Arabidopsis thaliana: one gene and its partners. The protein of the gene in region 1 purifies or fractionates together with the protein of each later gene. This does not show direct contact. Each region holds a gene or a part of one and is shown on either strand. Other genes may lie near its edges.

What was found.
Region 2: the proteins of AT5G63190 (region 1) and IMPA-8 fractionate together in Arabidopsis thaliana (co-fractionation; one large-scale study listed by BioGRID). This does not show direct contact.
Region 3: the proteins of AT5G63190 (region 1) and IMPA-2 fractionate together in Arabidopsis thaliana (co-fractionation; one large-scale study listed by BioGRID). This does not show direct contact.

The regions. Positions count from the first base shown.
Region 1 is NC_003076.8:25,341,996-25,350,559, forward strand, and holds AT5G63190 (MA3 domain-containing protein), read left to right. Parts: upstream 1-3,546; 5' UTR 3,547-3,807; exon of another isoform or gene 3,808-3,816; intron 3,817-4,149; coding exon 4,150-4,366; intron 4,367-4,547; coding exon 4,548-4,645; intron 4,646-4,733; exon of another isoform or gene 4,734-4,774; coding exon 4,775-6,568; 3' UTR 6,569-6,805; downstream 6,806-8,564. Other genes in the region: AT5G63180 (Pectin lyase-like superfamily protein), read right to left, coding at 1-705, 934-1,118; AT5G63200 (tetratricopeptide repeat (TPR)-containing protein), read left to right, coding at 7,048-7,211, 7,535-7,751, 7,969-8,061, 8,141-8,242, 8,361-8,528. UniProt on the Arabidopsis thaliana protein: Involved in target of rapamycin (TOR)-regulated translation control, especially under energy-deficient conditions.
Region 2 is NC_003076.8:21,116,915-21,124,320, reverse strand, and holds IMPA-8 (importin alpha), read left to right. Parts: upstream 1-3,201; coding exon 3,202-3,219; intron 3,220-3,303; coding exon 3,304-3,403; intron 3,404-3,496; coding exon 3,497-3,579; intron 3,580-3,653; coding exon 3,654-3,776; intron 3,777-3,854; coding exon 3,855-4,031; intron 4,032-4,106; coding exon 4,107-4,270; intron 4,271-4,353; coding exon 4,354-4,432; intron 4,433-4,530; coding exon 4,531-4,659; intron 4,660-4,756; coding exon 4,757-4,884; intron 4,885-4,972; coding exon 4,973-5,297; 3' UTR 5,298-5,375; downstream 5,376-7,406. Other genes in the region: AT5G52020 (Integrase-type DNA-binding superfamily protein), read left to right, coding at 1-129; AT5G52010 (C2H2-like zinc finger protein), read left to right, coding at 1,505-2,695; CBF4 (C-repeat-binding factor 4), read left to right, coding at 6,534-7,208.
Region 3 is NC_003075.7:9,131,719-9,140,854, forward strand, and holds IMPA-2 (importin alpha), read right to left. Parts: upstream 5,698-9,136; 5' UTR 5,417-5,697; coding exon 5,192-5,416; intron 5,104-5,191; coding exon 4,915-5,103; intron 4,830-4,914; coding exon 4,698-4,829; intron 4,583-4,697; coding exon 4,397-4,582; intron 4,315-4,396; coding exon 4,151-4,314; intron 4,064-4,150; coding exon 3,985-4,063; intron 3,628-3,984; coding exon 3,499-3,627; intron 3,344-3,498; coding exon 3,216-3,343; intron 3,108-3,215; coding exon 2,732-3,107; 3' UTR 2,730-2,731; exon of another isoform or gene 2,607-2,729; 3' UTR 2,032-2,606; downstream 1-2,031. Other genes in the region: AT4G16141 (GATA type zinc finger transcription factor family protein), read right to left, coding at 154-573, 1,002-1,175.

The DNA of each region.
Region 1 (8,564 bases):
GCGATAGTGACTTGCATGTTCTTGTCTTGTTCGTACGTATCACTGTGTCCCAATAACATAACCTTATTATGATGCGTCAAATAATTGTTCGAGATCGTTATAGCCGTTGATCCACGAATTGCATCAATTAACCCGTCGTTGCAATTCGATAGCGAGCAATGATCAACCCACACGTGGCTTCCACCGAATATTGACACACCGTCACCGTCGGATACCGTTCTATATCCGTAATGCTCTGGTGAGTCACGTACGTAAGTATTCCCACCTTGCTTGCAGTCATGTATGTGTAAACCATGGATGATGATGTTGGTTACATATTGTATGGTTATACATGGCCCACCGGAGATGTGTACGGAGGCTCCTCGTCCGTCTAGGGTTTTGAAAGAATTCATGATGAGTTCTTCTTTTAGTTGGATCGTCATGTCTCGCTTAAAAATGATCCATAGCGGTTCATCTTGAATGACTGCGTATCTTAGTGTTCCCGGTCTAGGGTTTACTGGATCATCGTTTCCTGGATCCGTGACCACATAGATTTCACCATCACGACCGCCAATAGCGTTCTTGCCAAAACCGATACCACAGTCTGCTAACCGTTTTCGGTTTTTCTCCCAATCCTTGTCGCATCGCCAACAATCATCGATTGGATTACCACTCCCGCACGAGAAGAACCCTAGCTTCCTTCTTGATATGGACTCGTTTATTTTTCTAATGCATTAACCAACAGACAATATATTAGCATTAATTAATCTTGACGTACGTAATTAGGCGTACTCATAAGTCATAGCTATTAATGCAGCAATAGTAACAAGTGAGTTTGTGATCAAGATCAAAATTAGCCTTGGATAGAAAGAACTTGGAAGCAATATCTAATACCAAACATTTGACTATTTGAGTGTATGTAAAATGCTTTTACATTTTTGTTAGAACATATACCTGTGTACTTCCTCGACAACAAGCTCAGGGTCGGAAACGGGCAAAGACGAAGCGAGAGCGGAGAACAAAATGCAGCAGAAAAAGATAAGTGCGAAGGATAGATATGAAGAATTTAGCATTGTGTTTCTTTGGCTTTTTGTTGTTGATAAATTTGAAGGTATTAAAAGAGAATTGGGACGAAACATATGAGTGAAGAGAGAAAGACAAAGCAAAGCGATAGACTATATAGCATATGAACACTTCGGGTGATTTATTGCGCATGCAACTTGACGTTAATTGGACCCACCTTGCTTAACCTTTTTCCTCTTCTTGTGAAATTATTTTGGTGTGTGAGAATGGAATCAACCCAAGTCATTTTAGAGAAGAAGAAATAATGCAAAATGTTTCCTAAGATTCAAATTTCATGATACCTGATAAAAAGTGTTTGGCTGAACTAAAAAGTGTTGTTCAGAAATGTAATTCTGATCAAGCTAAACGGAGCTGGTTATGATTTAAAAACGGAAGGAGTAATATCAGCCATCATTACAAATATAATTGGCTCAACAGTTCTAATAATTAAGATTATCAAACCGATAGCACTTAATACTGTATTCAACATTCAGGTAACGCTAGGAATGAGTCACGTGGCTTAAAGAAAAAAAACACAGAACTCGTAATTAAAATCTCAACGAACTTAAAGCTGAATGTTGGTGAAACACTAAGTACGGTGCACCAAAAGTCAACACTGTGTTAGTAATGTACTTTAGTACTAATATTTAATATTACGGTTTAATTTTTGTACCTTTATCATTACTTTTACGTTTTAACGGTTGAATATTATCAATAGCATAGCAGTTAGCTCAATTTAACTGATTTTTTTTTTTTCCTTTTTTTTTTTTTTTGTTAAAGCTCATATAGTAAAGTATTACATTTCGAGATACTTTAGTGTTTCTGCTATCTACTAAACCATATTTTGATAACTAAACGTATATGGATTGTAATTGTAAGAATACGATATTTGATACACTTTGAATTGTTTGATAAGTTGGTTTTAGAGTGTTTGTTATTATTATTATCTTTATACAAAATGAATTTCTTTTGGTGTCTCAAAGAGATATTGCTTGCAGGAAAAGAGAAAAGAATAGACCCACCAAAAGCAATAGAATAGGAGAACTGAGCCGACACTGGCCCATAGAGGTTTGATTTTGGGACCACCGAACCATGTGCTCGAGTCCAATCTTTCAATAAATTCTACACATATAATTTTCTTAAATTCATATAACGTTTTTAGAATAGTAGTGTATTCATTCATATCTAACAATCAGACCCTATGTTGAAATTTTGGCTGGTACAAAATGTGTTGACAATCAATGCACATGGGAAGTATTTGCATCATCACTCTATATCCTCCTCCTCCTCCACACTTTAAAAAGAACAATGTCTTTAAAAACTTAATCAACTATTCGATTACAAGTCTCGCCGACATTTTTCTTTTTGCTAGAGCCATTCATGTTGATGAATTTTCACTTCGGGCAAAAATATGGATCATGAGTTTAAGTCTAGTTTTTTTTTTTTAAATTACTGTTAGTAGCAAATTATTTTATACATTAAGCAAATTGTGTATTCTGGTACATAAACTGCAGAAAACAATTAAATGACATTTCTCACTACATTTTAGACAGTTTTGGACATTCATTCGATTAGTAAATGATTTCGTTCTCGTACGTGATGAAACACGAGAACCGATCGACATTAATGTTCCTTTTTCAGAATATTCTCAACGCTCAAAAGCTAATCTATATACATTTTTCACTACTTTTTACATGATTCATAGAATACAAAAATAATTGAACGCATTTGAATAAGTAACTAAATATAGAGTATGATAATATCTAATTCAACCATTTTAATTATTGACTACATTGGCTTATCAAACTGAAACTTGATCATTTGGATAAGCAAACTTAACAAATTAATGTTTTGAACAAATGCTCAACTTTACAAGTTTTTTTTGTCTTCTATACGAAATCAATTCAAGTTTCATGACATTGTCTTGTGAAAAAAAAACAAGAAAAAATGTAGAGAATTGACCTTTCTATAAAGAAATAGAGTCGTTAGATTGGATTTAAGGTGGTAGATATAAAGAAAACCGTCGGATCAGAAAATAGAGACAAAAGGGCATGTGACCGGTTTTTGCTTGAAAACTACTTGCTAACTTCTTCTCTACTCATTTATCAGTGTTATAATTTTTTTGTTTTTTTTATACACATAGTACGTTCACTAAAATAACAATTTAAAATGAATATTGATATAATTTAGTCATAATAATTTGAAAAATATAAAATACAATATCCATATCTGTTTTAAAACTATAAACATGATGGCCATGATCTAATAATATGATTCCATGAAGCATAAAACTTTTATTAACGTAGTCAACCATTGGATATTGTCCAGCCCAAAATATCTAATTCAATGGGCCGAACCTACCCAATACAGCCCATTGTTTTGGATTAAAATCTTTAAAAAAATTGGAGGCTAAATTAAAAAAAGAAGGAAATATTCTAAGCCCTCCACGTATTACGTTGATGACGTGTACCATCGTATATAAACAAATGCACAAAACTTTATTATATTGTTGTAAAGTAGTACTTTTATTGGCGATCCTCATCCATTTCCTCTCTCGTCGTTGTCTGGGAATCGGTGACTTTTGAATCTTTGCGACTCTCTTGTAGTGATAAATTGATCGTTATCTACTTTGATACTCTCCGGTCGTTTTTCTCCGGTGCTGGAGATCCGATTCCTTATCTTTTCTGTCTTGGCTCGAGATCCGAGCCAAGCAGTAAAGAAGACGACTTTGTTTCACGATTTGGAATTTGATTCCTGCGATCACAGGTATGACAGGTTAGATTTTGTTTTGTATAGTTGTATACATACTTCTTTGTGATGTTTTGTTTACTTAATCGAATTTTTGGAGTGTTTTAAGGTCTCTCGTTTAGAAATCGTGGAAAATATCACTGTGTGTGTGTTCTTATGATTCACAGTGTTTATGGGTTTCATGTTCTTTGTTTTATCATTGAATGGGAAGAAATTTCGTTGGGATACAAATTTCTCATGTTCTTACTGATCGTTATTAGGAGTTTGGGGAAAAAGGAAGAGTTTTTTTGGTTGGTTCGAGTGATTATGAGGTTATTTCTGTATTTGATTTATGAGTTAATGGTCGTTTTAATGTTGTAGATGGCATCGGGTGAGGGAATTTTGACGGATGGACAGTGGAAAAAGCTTGAAATAGCAACTCATAATTCTGGAAGTTTGTCATCATCGCCTAAATCTCATACTCTCTTTGCTGATCTGAACATTAAGTCTCCCACTGGTGGCAAAGGACCAGTTGCTGGGATTCCTAATAGGCATGTGCGACGTACTCACTCAGGGAAGCATATTCGTGTTAAGAAGGGTATTAAACTTTCTTCAACCTTTTGTGCTTGTTATTTGGCTAATAGATCCTTTTAGGGAGTGATATGACTCTTTATTAGTTCCTTTCAAATTTGCTTTAGTGAAAAGACTTAAGTTTTCAGTAGAAGAGTTCAAGTGTGTAGGTGATATATGGTTTACTTATGTGGCAATGATATCTGCAGAGGGTGCTGGTGGCAAAGGAACTTGGGGAAAGCTTCTTGACACTGATGATGGTGACTCCTGTATTGATAAGAATGATCCCAATTACGATAGTGGAGAGGTACTTTCATATTTGCGCCTTTTGTTTTGTGTTGGATACTTTTCCTTGTTTCTTTAGTGTATCTAACATCCCTTGATTTTATCTTTTATTAGTAGTTTGCTTTTTTCATTCATATACTCAATTTAACAGGACGCATATGATGGACTTGTTGATTCACCGGTATCAGACCCGTTGAATGATTACAAAAAGTCAGTAGTTTCCATCATTGACGAATACTTTAGCACCGGGGATGTGAAAGTGGCGGCATCTGACCTCAGGGAACTTGGTTCAAGCGAATATCATCCTTACTTCACCAAGCGACTTGTTTCTATGGCCATGGACAGACACGATAAGGAGAAGGAAATGGCTTCAGTGCTACTCTCTGCATTGTATGCTGATGTTATTTTACCTGATCAAATTAGGGATGGATTTATAAGACTTCTCAGATCTGTTGATGACCTTGCGGTGGACATCCTTGATGCTGTTAATGTCCTTGCATTGTTTATTGCACGGGCCATCGTTGACGAAATTCTCCCTCCGGTTTTTCTGGTTAGATCTAAGAAGATTCTTCCAGAATCTTGCAAAGGGTTTCAGGTTATTGTAACTGCAGAAAAGAGCTATCTCTCAGCTCCTCACCATGCAGAACTAGTGGAGAAGAAATGGGGAGGTAGTACTCACACTACAGTAGAAGAAACGAAGAAAAAGATATCTGAAATCTTGAAGGAATACGTGGAAAACGGAGACACTTACGAAGCTTGTAGATGCATCAGGGAATTAGGTGTCTCGTTTTTCCATCATGAGGTTGTGAAGAGGGCTTTGGTTCTGGCGATGGATTCTCCAACCGCTGAGTCACTTGTACTAAAGCTGTTGAAGGAAACTGCTGAAGAAGGACTGATCAGTTCGAGTCAAATGGTGAAGGGATTCTTCCGAGTAGCAGAGAGTCTCGATGACCTTGCTCTAGATATCCCATCTGCCAAAAAGCTGTTTGATTCGATAGTTCCAAAGGCTATTTCTGGAGGCTGGCTCGATGATTCATTTAAGATAACCTCTGATCAAGATGGAGAAAAATCGAGTCAAGACGGAAAGCTAAGACAGTACAAGAAGGATACAGTGAACATAATTCAGGAATATTTCTTATCAGATGACATTCCTGAGCTAATCCGCAGTCTTCAAGATTTAGGGGCACCTGAATATAACCCGGTGTTTCTGAAGAGGCTCATAACTCTTGCTCTAGACAGGAAAAACAGAGAAAAGGAAATGGCTTCGGTTCTTCTTTCTGCTCTTCACATGGAGCTATTCTCAACTGAAGATTTCATAAACGGTTTCATTATGCTCCTGGAATCGGCAGAAGACACAGCTTTAGATATCATGGACGCATCAAACGAACTTGCTCTGTTTTTAGCTAGAGCTGTGATTGACGACGTCTTAGCTCCACTTAACCTTGAAGATATCTCAACCAAGCTGCCTCCAAAATCAACCGGAACCGAAACAGTCCGCTCAGCCAGGTCTCTTATCTCCGCCAGACACGCAGGAGAGAGACTCCTAAGAAGCTGGGGAGGTGGAACCGGCTGGATAGTGGAAGATGCAAAGGACAAAATCTCGAAACTCCTAGAAGAATACGAAACAGGAGGAGTAACATCAGAAGCTTGTCAATGTATCCGCGATCTAGGGATGCCTTTTTTCAACCACGAAGTAGTGAAGAAAGCTTTGGTGATGGCAATGGAGAAGCAGAATGATCGGTTACTGAATCTGCTTGAGGAGTGTTTTGGTGAAGGATTGATTACAACTAACCAAATGACGAAAGGGTTTGGTCGTGTTAACGACAGCCTCGATGACTTGTCGCTTGATATACCGAACGCGAAAGAGAAGTTTGAGCTGTATGCTAGTCATGCCATGGACAATGGTTGGATCCTTCCCGAGTTTGGGATTTCTGCAACTCAGTGATTAGTGGTTCTCTTATCAGTTTCTTGTGTTTGTGCTTACGATACTTTCCTCACTATCTACATATATGTATGGATTCAGTTAGTAGATAAACATGAGATGTTTATATGTTCATGTGTTTCTGTCTGGTTGTTGTGTTTTGTCTTTGTACTGATATCTTTTAGTGTGTTCTAATTTCTGATGGATTTTTGTTACATTGAAAATAAGTTATTAGCATGGTTAATTTGTGTTAACTTATTACTCTTGTGATATTTTATGAAAATTATTTATAAATATAGAAAATATGGTAATTAAATTATAAAAAGATAAATAAAAATATATTTGTTCGGTCGGTGAGATAATTATGACTCCGGTTCCGGGATAGAGCAAACAAAAGGATAGACCAATACTCGTTGCCAAACAGCTTTATCCTCGTTTTTATATTTGTTTTGATTCTTTCTTCTTCTGCTCAACTTTACTGTCCGGCGTACTCAGCACCATCAATGGACCGCCCGGAGACGATCGCCGTCAAATGCGAACCCATGACCGTTGACTCTCCTTCTCGACCTCTAAAGCTTGTAGTTTTAGCTGACCTTAATTTCAATCCTCCTGAGACTGATGATCTTGACTCATCCATTCCAATCCCTACTCCTCCTCCCATCACTAGGTACTTCTACATACGTAGTTGTGTGTGTTTCAGCTAATTAACCTATTTCTTTCTGTTGCTTTCGACTAACTTTCTTTTGCTGAGATTTTTTTTTCCTCTGTTCGGAAGAAACATATGTTTGAAGTGACATTTTTGTTACGGGGTTGAATATATTGATGTCTTCTTATGCCGCAAAATCTAAAAATCGAGACTTTGGATATCTTTCAGCAAGAGTCTAAAAATGGGGAATTTTTTTTTTGATAAGTAGAGTTTGATTCTTACTGCTTTGGGGGATAGGAGAAGCTTCATGATTCTTAACTTAAATACATTTTTGTGTGTTTTAGGTTGAGTAACGAGGAAAGTCATCAAGAGGGAGGTATATTAACATGCAAGGAGGTGGAACCAGGAGAAGTAGAAGCCAAAAAGATCAGCAAGGTGGGAAAATGCCGCTCCAGAAGTAAGATTGAGTCTTCCTCTGATTGTGGAGTTGATGCAGATGGTGATCTGGCTAATCAAGGGGTCCCTGCATCCCGGGAAGAAAAAATCAGTAACCTCAAAATGGTGAGTTTATTGACTCATAGTATCGTAGAAAGTGTGCTTGGTCATATTGGGGCTAGGATTTCATAAAGTTGCCAAGAATGCATTCATCGTTAAACATTTGGAGAAAGAATGATGATGGTCCTCTTATATTCATAATGCTCTTCGCAGTTGATTATTGGTCTAATTTTCATGATGATGATGCTCTATATAAATTCTGATTTTCCTTCTCTGCTTATAGGGTTTGATTCATGTTGCAAGGAAGATGCCCAAAAATGCTCATGCCCATTTTATACTTGGTCTTATGTTTCAACGATTGGGCCAATCTCAAAAGGTACGCTTGAGCTGAGGGTACTCTGATGTATCTTAGAATAATTATCATCTTAGTGATTTTAACTGCTAGGAGGTTTTAGGCGATACCAGAATATGAGAAAGCTGAAGAGATCTTACTGGGTTGTGAGCCAGAAATTGCTCGGCCAGAACTTCTCTTATTAGTTCAAATTCACCATGGACAGGTGATGATCTTTGTGTCTGAACCAAATTTCATATTTGAAGTTCTTGTATTCGAGAGCTCCTTAGTTTATTGACAATTCACTCGAAGGTTTTAACATTGTACACTTGAAAACATTTTAGTGTCTTCTTTTGGATGGTTTTGGGGATACTGACTCTGTTAAAGAGCTTGAGGGAGAAGAGCTTGAAGAAATTCTTTCAAAATTAAAGGATTCTATAAAGTTAGATGTTAGACAGGCAGCCGTGTGGAATACCCTTGGTTTAATGCTTCTCAAAGCTGGTTGTTTGATGGTAAATTTCCTCACCATGTTGGTTGATTATCAATGT
Region 2 (7,406 bases), 4.2 Mb from region 1:
ATGCCGACTTTGTTGACGGAGATGGCTGAAGGGATGTTGATGAGTCCACCGAGAATGATGATACATCCGACGATGGAAGATGATTCGCCGGAGAATCATGAAGGAGATAATCTTTGGAGTTATAAATGAATCCATTGAAGCTGCTCTCTTTTTTATTGTTTTCCGGTCGAATGAGATTTTCCCCCTTTTTTTTTTTCTTTTTGGGTCGCTGTTATGGAAAGTCAAATAGGTTATTAATATGATATATTAATATTTTTGAAACATAATGAGTTTGAATTTGAATTTTTCCATTTTTATATAAATATGGTTTATATGAGGGAAAAATAGATACATATCGAAGATATAAGAATTGTTTTTCTGCTTTATTTTTGGTCAACTGATTATGGTGCTTCTAGAAAAAGAACAATCTTTTTAAGAACAAATATAAGAAGTATCTAGAAGCAAAATAATTTGTTTGTGGAAAGGCCTCCAATTTTATATAACTTAAAATCTGAAGATACAACACAGTCTAATGGTTTGTGTTTTCTGACCCCAAAAAAAACAACAGCTTCTCATGGGAAAAAATGGTAGGAAACTTTTTTTTTTTGTCAACGGCAAACTTAAATTTTAGAAAGATAAACTACGATATAATAACTTCCAAGAGAAGATTTTTTGGAACTTAACCATCAGACCACACACACACATCTTTATCATCCTATGAATATCCAACGAATACTACTACATAGAGAAGAATGAACATGTTACATTTATATCATGTTTGACTAGAAACAAAACAACATAGATCATTTTTCTTGTTAACCTTTGTATAGGTTTTCAATGGCTTCCGCTTCTCTCTGATTCTTTTTTACCATATATACTACTAGATCTACTGTCTTAGGATTCTCTAACCTTTAGGAGTTCAAAATTTATCTCATGAGCTTGAAAGATGTCAATTACTTCTCCAAACTCGACGTTATATGTGTCAAGTACTACATTCATGTCATGACAACCTTTTGTGCATAAAGATACCTCAAAAGCTTTTTTACCAGTTTCGTGTCCTTATATTTTTTTTTGCATACCTCACATTTTATATGGTTTTAATCACTCATCTTTTTATATATTCTCACCCATCCTTATAATTTCAAATTGAAATACCATCATGTCCAATATATTCTCACCCATCCTTATGCATTGTGTCTCATGTGTCTTTAGCATATTTCATATCCCTGGATCAACTTGAGTTAGTGAAACAGTTAGAAAGTAAAAAACAAAGGTAAAGTCTCTCTCGTCAAGACCCTCCGAGTGTACAAGAGGCTCTCAAACAACAAAAGCAAAAGGATAAACTTTTGTTAGCTCAGACTATCCACATAGCCGTCGTCTTCCTCGCCGGACATGCTAGAAGATAACAATCCACACCCAAACTTACCCAGAGAGACAATCTCTGATTCACGTCCACTACAATTACCGAATCTCTCCGAAGCCACCGATCACCTACGCTAGTTTCAGTGGCAATTCGAAGCTTCCAATGAGTTTGTTCTGTAATTCAATCGAAACCCTTTATCCAAAACCATTCCTTTCACACAAATCTCACTTCTTTACCTTCTCCAATTCCAAATTCCAAAACCCTAAATTCACAAGCTTCCCACTTCGTCACCAATGGCGGATCGAATCATGTCTGAAATCAGCATCTTCATCAGAAATCGATATGGTAAGAAACAAAGAAGGTATCTTTGCACCAAAGGAGAAGAAAGTTGTAGTCTTATGGGACTTAGACAACAAACCACCACGAGGTCCACCATACGAAGCCGCAACAGCTCTCCGTAAAGTCGCTGAGAAACTCGGCCGAGTCGTCGAAATCTCCGCTTACGCAAATCGTCATGCTTTTATCCATTTACCTCATTGGGTCGTCGAAGAGAGACGAGAAAGGAGGAACCTTGATTTCATGGAGAGGAAAGGAGAAGTGACTCCAATTGATCCGTACATTTGTGGTGTTTGTGGTCGCAAGTGTAAAACCAATCTTGATTTGAAGAAACATTTCAAGCAGCTTCATGAGAGGGAGAGACAGAAGAAAGTTAATAGGATGAGATCTTTGAAAGGTAAGAAACGTCAGAAGTTTAAGGAGCGTTATGTTTCAGGGAATGAGAAGTATAATGAGGCTGCGAGGAGTTTGTTGACTCCTAAAGTTGGATATGGTTTAGAGGCTGAGCTACGTCGAGCAGGGGTTTATGTTAAGACGGTTGAGGATAAGCCTCAGGCTGCGGATTGGGCGGTTAAGAGACAGATACAACATTCAATGACTAGAGGGATTGATTGGTTGGTTTTGGTGTCGGATGATAAGGATTTTTCTGATATGTTGAGGAAAGCTAGAGAGGCTGATCTTGGGACTTTGGTTGTTAGTGATATGGATAGAGCATTGGGAAGGCATGCTGATTTGTGGGTGCCTTGGAGTGGTGTTGAGAAGGGAGAGATTGGTGAGAAGGATTTGATTCCGGGGAAGAGACCAAGGTTTGAGGAGGATGAGGTGGGATTTGGTGGTAATGATGAGTTGTTTTCGTTGTCGTATGATGAGGATGAGAAGGCGGAGATGACGGTGGAGAGTGATGGGTTTGGGAGGTTTAATGTATCGGCGTTTTCGGAAGATGAATGGGTGGAGGATGAAGGAGACTTTGTGTTGAGTGATAGTAGTGATGATGATAGTGATGATGAGCTTTTCTGATTCATGGTGAATTGAGTTGCATTTCTAAGTGTTGTTAATTGGTTTACGAATAGAGTTCATAGGAGCTTTGGTCGATGTAATTGAAATCAAATGTAAAACCATTCTTACATAAGCCAAGATTTTGTGCATTCATGTGGTCAAAGGCTTTGAGAATTCAAGTTCTTACATAAACCAAGATTTTGTGGTATTGTGGTTTGTCGAATTGAAATTTTGGGTTGGAGTAAACCGGATTCAAATCAAATTTTTATTTTGATCGGTTTAGAGTAGACGGTTAAGTAGCGACTGGATTTTTTGATCAGACGGTTAAAATAAAATCAAGAAAGAAACGATAACTGAAAAACCCGTTTTTTTACGCTTCGTTAAAATTCTGCTTCACCATTTTTGTTTGCATTCTTGCTTGATTGCAAAATCTTTGCCTCTCTCACATTTCAAGTTGAGATTTCTAGGGTTTAGTCTTTAAGTTTTCTAAATTGCTTTGGAGAGGTCGAAAAGAAGAGAGAAAAGCCATGGCTTGGAAAACAGAGGTCCGTTTAAAACTATCTCACAAGTAATCACTCTCTGGTTGATTTTGTGTTGGACTAGTGAGGTTTTTAGGGTTTGGATTGTAGGTGAACGAAGTTTCAGATGATATAATCGATGGTCTTTGGTCAGATGATCCTCCATTACAACTTGAATCCGTTACCAAGATCAGACGTATTACATCACAGAGTAAAAACTTCCTCTGTTTTTTACTTTCTTTACTTTTTCTTGATCTCGGTTTGAAAGATTCGTCTTTTATCATTTACTCTAATATCTTTCCAGGAGATATATCTTGTGTGATACGATCTGGAGTTGTACCGCGTCTCGTTCAGTTGCTTAAAAATCAAGTTTTCCCCAAGCTTCAAGTTAGTTGATATTTTATGATGATGATCAGTGTAACCTTTGATTACGATATATTCAGTGATCTTTGTTTTTATAGTATGAGGTAGCTTGGGCTCTAACAAACATTGCTGTTGACAATCCGGGCGTGGTAGTTAATAACAACGCTGTTCCAGTATTAATTCAGCTTATTGCTTCTCCTAAAGATTATGTTCGTGAGCAGGTAAGTATTTTACTACGTGTAGATATGAGAATACTTGTCACAGACTCACAGATATGAGTTTTGACATTATTCTTGCAGGCTATATGGACACTGAGTAATGTTGCTGGTCATTCGATACATTACCGTGACTTTGTTCTTAACTCTGGGGTATTGATGCCACTGTTGCGTCTTCTGTATAAGGATACTACACTCAGAATTGCTACTTGGGCTTTGCGTAACTTGTGTCGTGGCAAGCCTCACCCGGCTTTCGATCAGGTCTTCTTACTTCTCTCTCTGTCTCTGTTTCCTCTGTTTTGTATACTTTTTAACATATGAAGCATGATTCAACAGGTGAAACCTGCTCTTCCTGCGCTTGAAATACTTCTTCATTCACATGATGAAGATGTCTTGAAAAATGCTTGCATGGCACTATGTCATCTGTCTGAGGGTTCAGAAGATGGAATCCAAAGTGTGATTGAGGCTGGTTTTGTCCCAAAACTAGTTCAAATTCTCCAGTTAGTACTTCTCAGAATATGTATTTAACCCTTTTGTGACATGTTTGGATAAGGAAAGGCTGACAGTTTTTTTTCTTTTGCAGACTCCCTTCTCCAGTGGTGCTTGTTCCTGCACTTCTTACCATTGGGGCTATGACTGCTGGAAATCATCAGCAGACACAGGTATGTATTTCATATTCAACTTACGTTGTCCACCTTTTGGATTTTGTAACCAAACAACAAAATGCTTTGTTATACACCTCTTTGAACTTATTCTTCAGTGTGTGATCAATAGTGGTGCTTTACCCATTATTTCCAACATGCTTACTCGAAACCACGAGAACAAAATAAAGAAGTGTGCTTGCTGGGTGATTTCAAACATCACTGCAGGGACTAAAGAACAAATTCAGGTGAGAAACTTTTGTTGCTATTATCCCCAATGAAAATTTACCATTTTTGTCTTTTGCTATCACTAATTTGTTTTTCTTTTTCCCCTGGTGATTACAGTCAGTTATTGATGCAAATTTGATTCCAATCTTGGTCAATCTTGCTCAAGATACTGACTTCTACATGAAGAAAGAAGCTGTATGGGCAATTTCAAATATGGCCTTAAATGGTTCTCATGATCAAATCAAGTAACGTCCCTGTCTTGTTTCTTTTTTCAACTTTAATGTACTTATTATAGATCATCAAGTCTCACAATTCTCCATTGGTGTGATTCAGATACATGGCGGAGCAGAGTTGCATAAAACAATTATGTGATATCCTAGTATATTCAGATGAAAGAACCACCATCTTAAAGTGTCTGGATGGATTGGAAAACATGTTGAAGGCCGGAGAGGCTGAAAAGAACAGTGAAGACGTGAACCCTTATTGTCTACTGATTGAAGATGCGGAAGGGCTAGAAAAGATTTCGAAGCTGCAAATGAACAAAAACGATGATATCTACGAGAAGGCTTATAAGATTCTGGTGACGAATTGGTTTGAAGAGGATGATGAGAACAACAACAACAACGTCCGATGTGATGATGTGGACTTTCAGGTGTGAGAGAACCAAAGTTCCAGTTCCTTATATGGAAGATCCCAACACAATTATTTGTTATAGTGAAAAAAAAACATCTTACATGGGACCAAAGGCTTTGCACCTTTGTTGTCTCAGGGCTTTACTTGGTCTTTAATTGAATGTACAAAGTTGATGTAAAAGCTTTGGCTCCATCGTTCATGGAGTCTAGTACATTGTTTTGGGTTTTAAAAGTTTTCTGTGTTAAAGCTCGTCGTCTAATTGATGTTGTGTTTGGTTTTAGTTGAAAGGTTTAGACGTTTAGTAAAAAAGTTACTCAAATTCTTGAAATCTCCTTGGCCTTGCTGATTATAAAATCAAATATTCATTTATAAAATTATGCGAAAGGGTCTAATTATTTTTGAAACCGAATCGAATGAAGACAACTCCATTTTGATTGATTTTTTTTTTGTTGTATTAAAGAATAAAAAACTCGACTGGTTCAACAAGACTGGATTGTCTTTAAACTACTGGTTCAATGTATTTTGGGTACATAATGAAAAAAATACACAATCCGCCTTGGCCACGTATCCATCTTTGGCTTAGTTGATGATGATAATACTTTTGTTTTTTGGTAAGGCTGATGATGATAATAGTTAGAAGAAGTTCATAGAATAATCCAATGGATTTCCAATAATAAAACACAGAAATAAATATAATCCAAACAATTGCCAAAAATAATGAATAAGAAAAGGGACCCACACCAAAAGCTAAAAGCGCGTGGGTCAGATTACAAAAAGCGAAACCCCAAACCGTGGCTAGACAGCGGACGAACCCGTCCCTTCAAACGTGGCTCACCTTTCGAACCACAGAGAGCAGTTTACACTCCAACTGTCAAAAACGTGTTCCCATGACGTCATCCTCAACGTATCTTTATCACTTTTTAAAACTAAAGACTGTTTTGTCTTTTTCTAAATCGTCCCCTTTCTCCGAACACCATACTTAAATTCAATAAAATAATAAATATCAAAACTGAACCATCGAATCGGAACCAGCCACAGTACACAATACACTTAGACGAAGTAAAGTGATTCAGAAGGACACGTGTAAGTCACATACCGTGGGACACTTGTCGTTACCAGATCCTCCGTGTTTCTCACTTTTCTTATAAAATAAAAACACAACACTTCTTCACTTTCTGTAATAAAAATATCTCCAAAAGTTCCAACACCTGAAAACATAAAAAGATAGAAAGAGAAATAAAACATCTTATCCAAAGAAAAAATGAATCCATTTTACTCTACATTCCCAGACTCGTTTCTCTCAATCTCCGATCATAGATCTCCGGTTTCAGACAGTAGTGAGTGTTCACCAAAGTTAGCTTCAAGTTGTCCAAAGAAACGAGCTGGGAGGAAGAAGTTTCGTGAGACACGTCATCCGATTTACAGAGGAGTTCGTCAGAGGAATTCTGGTAAATGGGTTTGTGAAGTTAGAGAGCCTAATAAGAAATCTAGGATTTGGTTAGGTACTTTTCCGACGGTTGAAATGGCTGCTCGTGCTCATGATGTTGCTGCTTTAGCTCTTCGTGGTCGCTCTGCTTGTCTCAATTTCGCTGATTCTGCTTGGCGGCTTCGTATTCCTGAGACTACTTGTCCTAAGGAGATTCAGAAAGCTGCGTCTGAAGCTGCAATGGCGTTTCAGAATGAGACTACGACGGAGGGATCTAAAACTGCGGCGGAGGCAGAGGAGGCGGCAGGGGAGGGGGTGAGGGAGGGGGAGAGGAGGGCGGAGGAGCAGAATGGTGGTGTGTTTTATATGGATGATGAGGCGCTTTTGGGGATGCCCAACTTTTTTGAGAATATGGCGGAGGGGATGCTTTTGCCGCCGCCGGAAGTTGGCTGGAATCATAACGACTTTGACGGAGTGGGTGACGTGTCACTCTGGAGTTTTGACGAGTAATTTTTTGGCTCTTTTTCTGGATAATAAGTTAGTTTAGGGATTATTTGGACATCTAGGATTGGTCCGGAGTTCCGTACCTGTATTTTTTGTTTGGTACCAAATCTTTAGTAATAAATCGTCTATCATTTATTCTTGTTAGAATGTTCTTTGTTTGTTTTTGGTAAACAGATTTGATCAAATTAGAGCTATAGAATTTGA
Region 3 (9,136 bases), on another chromosome or scaffold:
CATTAGCTTGCCTCTAAAATTACATTAACTAATATATATGATAAGTAGGATTAATAATCCTCTCTTCATCATTTCCTCACTAACTTATTTTCCCTAATCTCTTTCACTCAACCATTACGACACATCAAAAAAAAAGGGTTAAGAGACAAAATCTCAACCACAAGAAAGAGCCATGAGAAGTACTGCGGCTCGTTCCTCTTCCCCAAGTTTCCTCCATAGCCTCTTCTTCTCCACAGCCGATCTCTTCATCGCCGGTACCTTAAACCCAAAATCCAAAAATCTACCAACCCTTTTCACGTTCTTCTTGTTATTATTGCTGCTACTGGAATTCTCAGGATCTCTCTTGATTTTGTTCTTGACATTTCCTGGTTCACCTTTGGCAATCTTGACAATTCCCGGTTCACATTTGGCAATCTTAACATTAACTGGTTCGCCTTTTCCGGTCTTGACATTTCGGCTCTCAAGACCAAGATTGTTATTACTTTTGCTCTTGATTTTAATATCATCTTGTCTAATTCCAAGAGCTGCTTGTCTCTTCTTTCTGCTCTTGATACCACACGCATTGCACAATGACTGCAAACAAAGTCAATCCATGATCAGACCAGAGAACAAATAGTGAACAATCATCAAACAGATCTAAAATTAAAGAGACATAACCATCTCTTAGTAAAAAAGGCATCATAAAAACAGTGTAACAATAATCTTAACCTGATCAATTAGTAATAAGGCTTCAAACACAGAATCAAAACAAAACATAGAGATCACATAACAAATTTAAATATCAACCACAGATTGACACAAACCTCGCATACCTAGACTATGTATACACATGATCACATCAATGAGACAAAACCCACTAGCAACAGAGCTAAGCACACAAGATCAACCTACATTTTAAGTGGATTCAAGTACCTATTTGACTAGATCTAACACATGAGACCTTAAAGCTTGGATTTTTAAGGGTTTAAAAGAAAATGGTAGAGAGAGATCATGATCCTTACTTTAGGGCCAGCAGGTCCACCACGCCAAAGAGGAGTCCTGCTTGTTCCGCAATCAACGCATGTCTTCTTCGTATCACCTCCACTTCCACTGCTACTACAGTTCCCGTTGTCTACATCGGACGAATCTCCCGCCGATTCGAGCTTCGTCGTCTTGGTTTCTTCCGTCATTGACATCTACAAAAGAAAAAGACAATTATTAAACGTGATCATCAACTACAAGTAAGAGAAGGATCAAAAACGATCATGGAAACTCACATTGATCCACTTCGAAGCGAGATAGGATTGAGAAGAATAGAAAACTCTGAAACAGAAGAAAGGAGAGTAACGGAAATGGCAGAGAAGGATCAAAGAGCTCTTCTTCTGCTTGAATGGCTCTCTGTGAAGTTTAGAGTGAAGATGATGATGATAAGGAAGAGAGAGAGACGCCGCAGAAGAATAACGGATAAAACAAACGGAGAGGGTTTTTATAATAAAGGAGGAGGCGGGGACTAATAAACCCTAGATTTCTCTTTCTTAATTACTTTTTTACCCTCGAGCGCGGTGTTTTATTACTATAGAACCACCCGCCAAAAAATAAAACAACCACAAACTGAAAAAAGAAGAGGGAAAATCATTTTACAACAACAACTTGTAACAAAGATCTTGTGGAAGGGGGTTTTTTGGTATCTTGCTTGCTTTGGTACCAAATTTGAAATTTTAATTCAAAACCTGGCGCACGAAATACATTGGATTTACTCGTTGTGGTTGTTTGCCACGTTAGATTTCCCTAATTGGGCTTAGAGATATGCATGCATTTTTTACCAGTCTTTTAGATATTTTGTGTAATTCTTCACAATGAAATACGAAAAATTTATGTAATAATATTAGGTATATCGAAGACATGCTCGTGTAGTGCAACTTTTTTTGTATGAAAATTACAAAACATCTCTCTTTTTGGTCAATTTCATCTTATTTAAATTTGTGTAATCGACTTATGAATATTTGAGTTCTTTTGGGTCCAAGGCATACCTACGCTTATAAACGACAGGGATTGAACAAAACATAGGATTTTTTTATTATTGAAACCCTCCCTACTTGAAGTTGACGATAACCATTAATAACATCGATTAATGGAAATATGTTGAAACTAGATACGCGTGCATATGTAGACAATAGCCCAAAATGACTTGGACCGCACTAAAATAGATTATAAAAAAAAACATTTACTATAAACAATAAAGAGACGAACCAATTGGGCTTTTATGTCACCAATAAGACCAAATAAAGTTTGACCAACTTTTTTATGTTTGACTTTGCAGTGTTGTGTAGTACAAATGTAACAAAAACCCAGAGAGACACATTCTCATCAGATCACACTTTAAAAACTTATAAACCCTTTCCCAAAAATAAATATCCCTTGATGACTCCTACCCAACTCCCCCCCAACAAGCTTATTCCATGACTCAAACCCACCAACCACTGGATCTGACCGGACCAGGCCAGACTAAGTAAGGCACCCCATCTGACTTTTACACAGAAGACCAGACTCTCTAATCATACCCTTTTTAACCAGTGCCCCCAAACTCTTTAAGCTCCTTCGACTCTTCAAATCGTCATGTTCAGCTCCTGTGGAAGCAAAACCAGACTCACAGATTCACACAAGGTAGACACACAGGCAGATTTACTCTGTTTGCTAGTCTAGCCTTAGATGCTTAGATAAATTAGTCCCAAGTAGTGAGGTTTTTTTACCTTCACTGGAAGTTGAATCCACCTGGTGGTACGGCTGCATCATTACCTCCTCCAAACTGGAAGCCTTGTGCAGAGGGATCACCAGGTGGTAAAGTTTCATCTTCCTCTTCCAACCAGTACGTTTCAAGAATCTTCACTGCCTTCTCATAGATTTCGCTGTTGTCATGACTCTGCAGATTCTCAATCTTTTCTAATCCCTCAGCATCATCGATCAGCTGTGCATAAAAGTTTACATCCCCGGTATTTCCTGTGACCTTTTCAGCTTCCCCAACTTTCAAAATGTTCTCCAATCCTTCCAGACACACAGTGATAATCCTTGGATCAGGGCACACCAAAAGATCACACAGTGGTTTCACGACTCCCTGTTCCACCATGTACCTAAAACACACAACGGAATAACTTAATTGACTGTTTGAAAAATAACCAACAAAGATTCTAAAGGAGTTGAGATCAACAGAACATGGAGTTTATATCGGATAATCTTACTTGATTTGGTCAGGAGAACCACCTGAAGTGGCATTTGATATTGCCCACGCAGCTTCTTTCTTTATATCAAACTCCGCATTTTGAAGCAGATTGACAAGAGGGCAAATCAAACCAGCTTCACACACAGCCTGCAATACCACAACAATATTAGAGAACATAAACACACAGAACATCTTTCTTCAAACAACAAAAAGGCTTCTGAAACATGTCTTCCAACATTAGTGATTAGTTTATGAGAAACTGATAAGCTGAGCAGAAACAACAATCTTTAGCAAAAGTTCACCTGAATCTGGTCCCTGTTTCCAGCAGTGATATTTGAGATTGTCCAGCAAGCTTCCTTTTTGATGCTCTTCTTATGATTGTGAGTCAGAAGGCTCAAAAGGCTAAGAAGTGCACCATGACTAATTACACACTGTAGAACCAACCAAAAAAGAAAGCAAAATAAGTGAGGAATGGTACATGTGTGAGATTCTTAAGAGTATTATACATACTGCCTTAAATTAGTCTAACTATTCAAAAGGAATGTTAGGTATTGCATAACTAGGGTAAAAAACATGCAGGGGGGGAAATAAAATCTGGGAAGAATTGACAGTTCCCATTCTAGAGATTCATCTAGGAAGAATTTGACAAGTAACTTTTGACAACTAAATGTCATTATCAACAAACTCAGATTCAGCTTTCTAGCCAGTGTATTTCATTCTTCCCATCAGTATTGGACCATGTATCCTGAATAATATGAATGAATGACACTATAAAAGAACAAACATACCTGTGTCTGCAGATCATCTCCAGTGACAATGTTACCAATACTACGAAGGGCAGGAATAAGCACAGATGGTGATTGATGCCTACAGCAAAATAAAATTGATAATATTCATTAACACATAACATTCATTATACAAAAGCACGGTGAAATCATGGGATTTGAAACTCACTGGAGAAGCTCGACGAGTCGAGGAACAACACCTGCCTCAATGACAGATTGGATTTTGTCATTTGTGCCATCGGAAAGGTAAGAGAGAGCCCAACATGCATCCGTTAACACTTCCTCATCAGTCGAATGAATCAGGCGTTCAAGGGCTGGGAGTGCTGGACGGACCTGTTATTAAGAGATCACAAGAATTAAAAAGAAAAACTCCTTCATCTTTGGGCAGAGATTAAGATAGGAATGAGAGACAAACCTGGTCAAAGGGAGGCTGTGGCTTGCCCCTGCAGAAATTAGAGAGGGTCCAAGTAGCATTTCTCAGCATCGAGAGTTTAGCATGCTCATTCAACTGAGAGAGTAATGGTATCAAAGCTCCTTGACCAAGGACAAGATCTCTGCACCGTGGAGAATCACCAGCAACATTCCCTAATGCCCACACAGCCTTACACATGAAAAGATTAAGAAACAAACAAGCTTTAGAACATGCTTGTTCCCGAAAACAAACAAAATTGACAGTATATTGAGTCATGAGAAAAAACCATAAACACATATCTTACCTGCTCACGGACATCATCACTCTGAGAAGCCAATAGTTGAACAAAAATCGGAACAGCACCATGTTCAATGACCACCTTTGTATTCTCTGAAGTCCCAGAAGCAATGTTTGTCAATGCCCAAGCAGCCTCAAACTGAAATCACACACACACACACAAGTAATTAGTATCAGAAGACAATTCTAGCAAAATATGACAGATACATAACGATCCACCAAACCTGAAGCTGTGGATAATCCTCTCTAGTGAGAAATTCCACAAACCGAGGCACAACACCAGCATCAATCACTTCTTCAATCGGAGGACTACGCTCAATAGAAAGCAATTTCCGGAACTGAGTAGTCGCTTCAAGCTGTAAACTTCTATCATCTGACCAAACACCACCAACCATAGCAGGCAAACTCTCCAACTAGCCAAAACCAAAACCAAAATCAAAATCGAATCGATCTAAACCAATCAAATCCTAGGAAACGGTTCCAGATCGCTAGTAATATTACCTTCTTCTCAACAGTTGATGAAGCAGGAACAGGAGAAGGAGCGAATTGAGGTAGCTGATTAGCTTGAAGGCCTTCACGACGCTTCTTCTGTAAGCTTTCTTCACGCTTACTCTTACGGATCTCGACCATGTTGTCCTCTCTCCTCCGTCTTCCTTCCTCAGCATCCACCGCCACTTTGTAGCGGTTCCGGCGAACCTCAGTCTTAGCGTTAGGTCTCAAAGACATGGTGGCTAATACGAATCTCCTCTTGCTTCGTGGCGGTGAATGAAAAATGAGCCAACGAGAGTGGAGACGATGTATGTATATATATGAAAAGTGTATGTATAGAATCGGCGGATTGGTAGAGGATGATAAACCCTAAATGAAGTAGAGGGGAACGAGAAAAGAGGAAAAAAGGCACAGAGAGAAAGATTGAATTTCGTTGGTTTACAAAAACATTTTGGTAAATCTAAATTTTAAGATTCGATACAGAGACCATTAATTTACTTAAGTTGACTTGTTTATTCATTAGTCTTTTCGCACCGACTAAATTTAATTTAAAATAAAATACAGTTTTTTTTTTGGCAAAACTTGGTTTTGTGAAAGTAATTTTAAAAGTATATTATATTCGTTTAAGAAAGTTTAGAGTAGAGAACTTCGCATTTGAGTTTGACGTTGAGGAAGACGTATGAGCAATGCTCATATATTGGGGTAGATTCGTCTGTTGGAGCCATAACGATTGCAAGTACCTCTGGTAGCATTATCTAGGAGGTGAAAATCTGTTATTCTCTCTCCGTTCTTATCTGATGAAAGCTAATAACAGATTTTCACCTCAACTTTCATGGTATCAGGTCTTTCCCACAGACTATAATGAATTTTAATTTAAATGAAAAAATCGTCAGAAAAAAATACTTATGTTTTTTTAATCAAACATCTGGCTTTGTGAAATGGTGCATACGAATTTAAAAGTGTACTCGTTATAAATAAACACAATCATCATTACTTAAGACGGCTCAGCCAAGTTTGGAACTTTAAAGAGAAGGTTTTTTTAAGAAGTATACACATATATGTACGGCTGAGACATCTGATCTCTGAGGTCTTTTTAATGTCTCTTTAAAGTTAAGACTCCAGGAAAAATAATAACATGGTGATGGAGGTTGGCTTTTAGCGGAGATCGAGGACTTCATATTTGAGTTTGGCATTGAGGAAGACGTGTGAGCAATGCTCGTAGATTGGGTTACCGTCTTCTGATTCTTCGTGTGGGTGGAAGCCTCGTTGCTGGCAGTTTCGGATCACAGATACGCCTGATGGATCAGAGAGATGGAATATTCCATGAGGTGTTGATTCGTCTGTTGGTGCCATTACGATTGCCACCGCCTCCGGTAGCATTATCTGGGACAATAGATATAGATGATGGTTTTACTATAATCGCATCATAAGTGATTAACATAGAGATATTGATAAGGGGAGTTTGTTACCTGATACGAGTAGTGTGTGTGTAGATCAACTGATGACATGAAGCAAGTTTGTGTAGGGTGTGTCTGAAACCAAAATGTAAATTAGCAAGACGAATCGATAAAGCTTATCAACTAGTGGATATATGGATTCACAATTGTTCTGAGTAACGTTTTGGTAAGTCATTATCTGGAAATGGAAGATTTTTTAGTTCGGGTGAGAGAACTTACATGAATCCAACCCAAGGGAAATAGAGAGAGTCTGTCCTGTACTCGAATATTTCTTCTCGTTTAGTGTTTGGCACTGTACATTACCCAAATGATGATGAACCTAAGTGTGAGAAGCATACCAGCGAGAATTAAAAAGATTGTTATTGATGTAAATGGTTAAGAAAAATGAAGAACATACAGAATCTGAGGTAGACTCCTGCTTTGGGATTATGAGAGTAGTGATATGAAAAACCCTGTTTTTCTGTAAACATGGCAAATAGACAGAATATAAGTAATGGCGAGCTGATCATGATATTGGAATCAAAAATTATAAATGCAAAGGTTCCATCTACTCACCAGAGAACCAGCAAGTACTCCACAAGTTTCTAAATTCCGTTCTGTGTTTGACCGAGCTAGCCTTAGGAAATCATCCATTATGCGCACAGGCTTCAGCAAATTTAAATAAAGGGTGACAACATTAGTAGTAGATTAAGAAGAGGTGAAAGAGAAAGATTTCCAGAACCGATTCTAGCAAGCTTTTAAGAAGCTGTAATGGTCATGAATCCAATACTTCGATGATTTAATGTGTTGATTCTTGAACACATACCAAATAATTAGACTAATCATGGATAATTTTCTACTTGATATGCATATCCCTTCCACTTTACTCTCACAAACACTATGGAATTGGTGGAAACTGCACAAAAGTGAAAGAAGATACAGCTGGAACATACCACATGCAAATGCTGATAAGAATTGCTGCCCTCTTTTCCTTCTAGGGAAGGAATTGCAGGTCCTGGTCTAGGATCAGCTACTTTAGATGGGCAAATTTGGGCTAACTCTTGATGCACTTGAGCAAGCACGGGAGGAGGGGAAGGTTGCTTCATACCGACAAACTGAAACGGGTCTTCAGTTGCGTCGCTAATAAACTGGGAATTTACTGCCTCAGAATGACGCTGCCATCGACCATCATCTAAGGAGAGCACAGAGTTCAGTGTTGAGACTTCTTGAGAATCACCATTAAGTGATGCTGAGGAACTGCTAGGTCCAGCTTCAATTAAACTGCAGAAATACATGGAGTCAGTTTGAAATAGCCATGACTTCTTTAAGGAAAAGCTTAGAAGGTAACAGAAGATGAGTACTTACCCTGAATTGTCCGCAGAACCCCAATCTGTATTACTCGGATATTGAACCTATCATTCCATACAAAATAAAGATTTTTCTCAGTTCCTTCAGATCTAAGATAATTAAACATTGAATTGGACCAAGAGTAAAAGAAAGAGTGAGAAAATGTGAGAAAGGTAACAATGATCAGCACTATACCTTTATCTCTGACTTGGGTGCAACCATTTGCCTTTTAAGACCATTCGGACCTAGAAATGAATGTCTTGACAAGGTTGCTTGGTTTGGAGGCAGGAAATCAAAAGATCTGCAGGTTCAGGAGCACAATTAAAGTCTCAATGATCATCCCAGATTAATATGGAGTAGCACTTGAGTCTCATAGACTCATTTCTTGTTTCAATATCCCAAAACCAAAGAAGAATTCCACAAAACGCAACCAATAAACATGATACCATAAATAGAAAATCCAAGCAGCATTGGCAGTTTAGTCCATCAGAATGGTAGTTTTTCTGGTAATAACTAATAAGTGACCCAAACATCGTATATATATGGTGATCACAGAAACAGGTAGATGTAAAGCAAGAAAACCAGTGACACATATCGGATGGCATACCCCTATTTCTCAGGGTTCCTAAAGCTCAGAGAGCTTATAGTGTTTGAATTCCTATTAAGCAGAATTACCGACAATTATATTAAGGGAGAATACTCACAGCTTCTGGAACTGCTGATCAATCTGTGTACGATTTGATGATGAAGTCAGATTATTGTTATACGTCCAGGATGGTTGAGATGTCGGTAAGGGCTGCATCCAGAGAAGACAAAAAAAATGGAAAAGGCATTGCTGGTAAGAAATCACATGGATTTTGAAGATGCAATGATTATATAGAAATCCTAGATTATGTACTCAATGCAAACTCCAAGTCTTACCTTGTTAATATCAGGTCTGGAGTATGAAGCTTTGTGAGCAGGAGGCCACTCAACAGCATCTGAACTATATGATACGACCGGGAGATCACTTCCATCCTGACGGGATTCATCCTCAACTCTGTTCAGCTTATCCACTAGCTGGTTGAATTCCGGTTTCAGAGACTCGAGCTCATTGATTACAGCACGCAACCTCTGTAGCACAAAAAAAAGACCAAATCTGAGGACACTACTAAGTCTAGTAACACTAAACAAC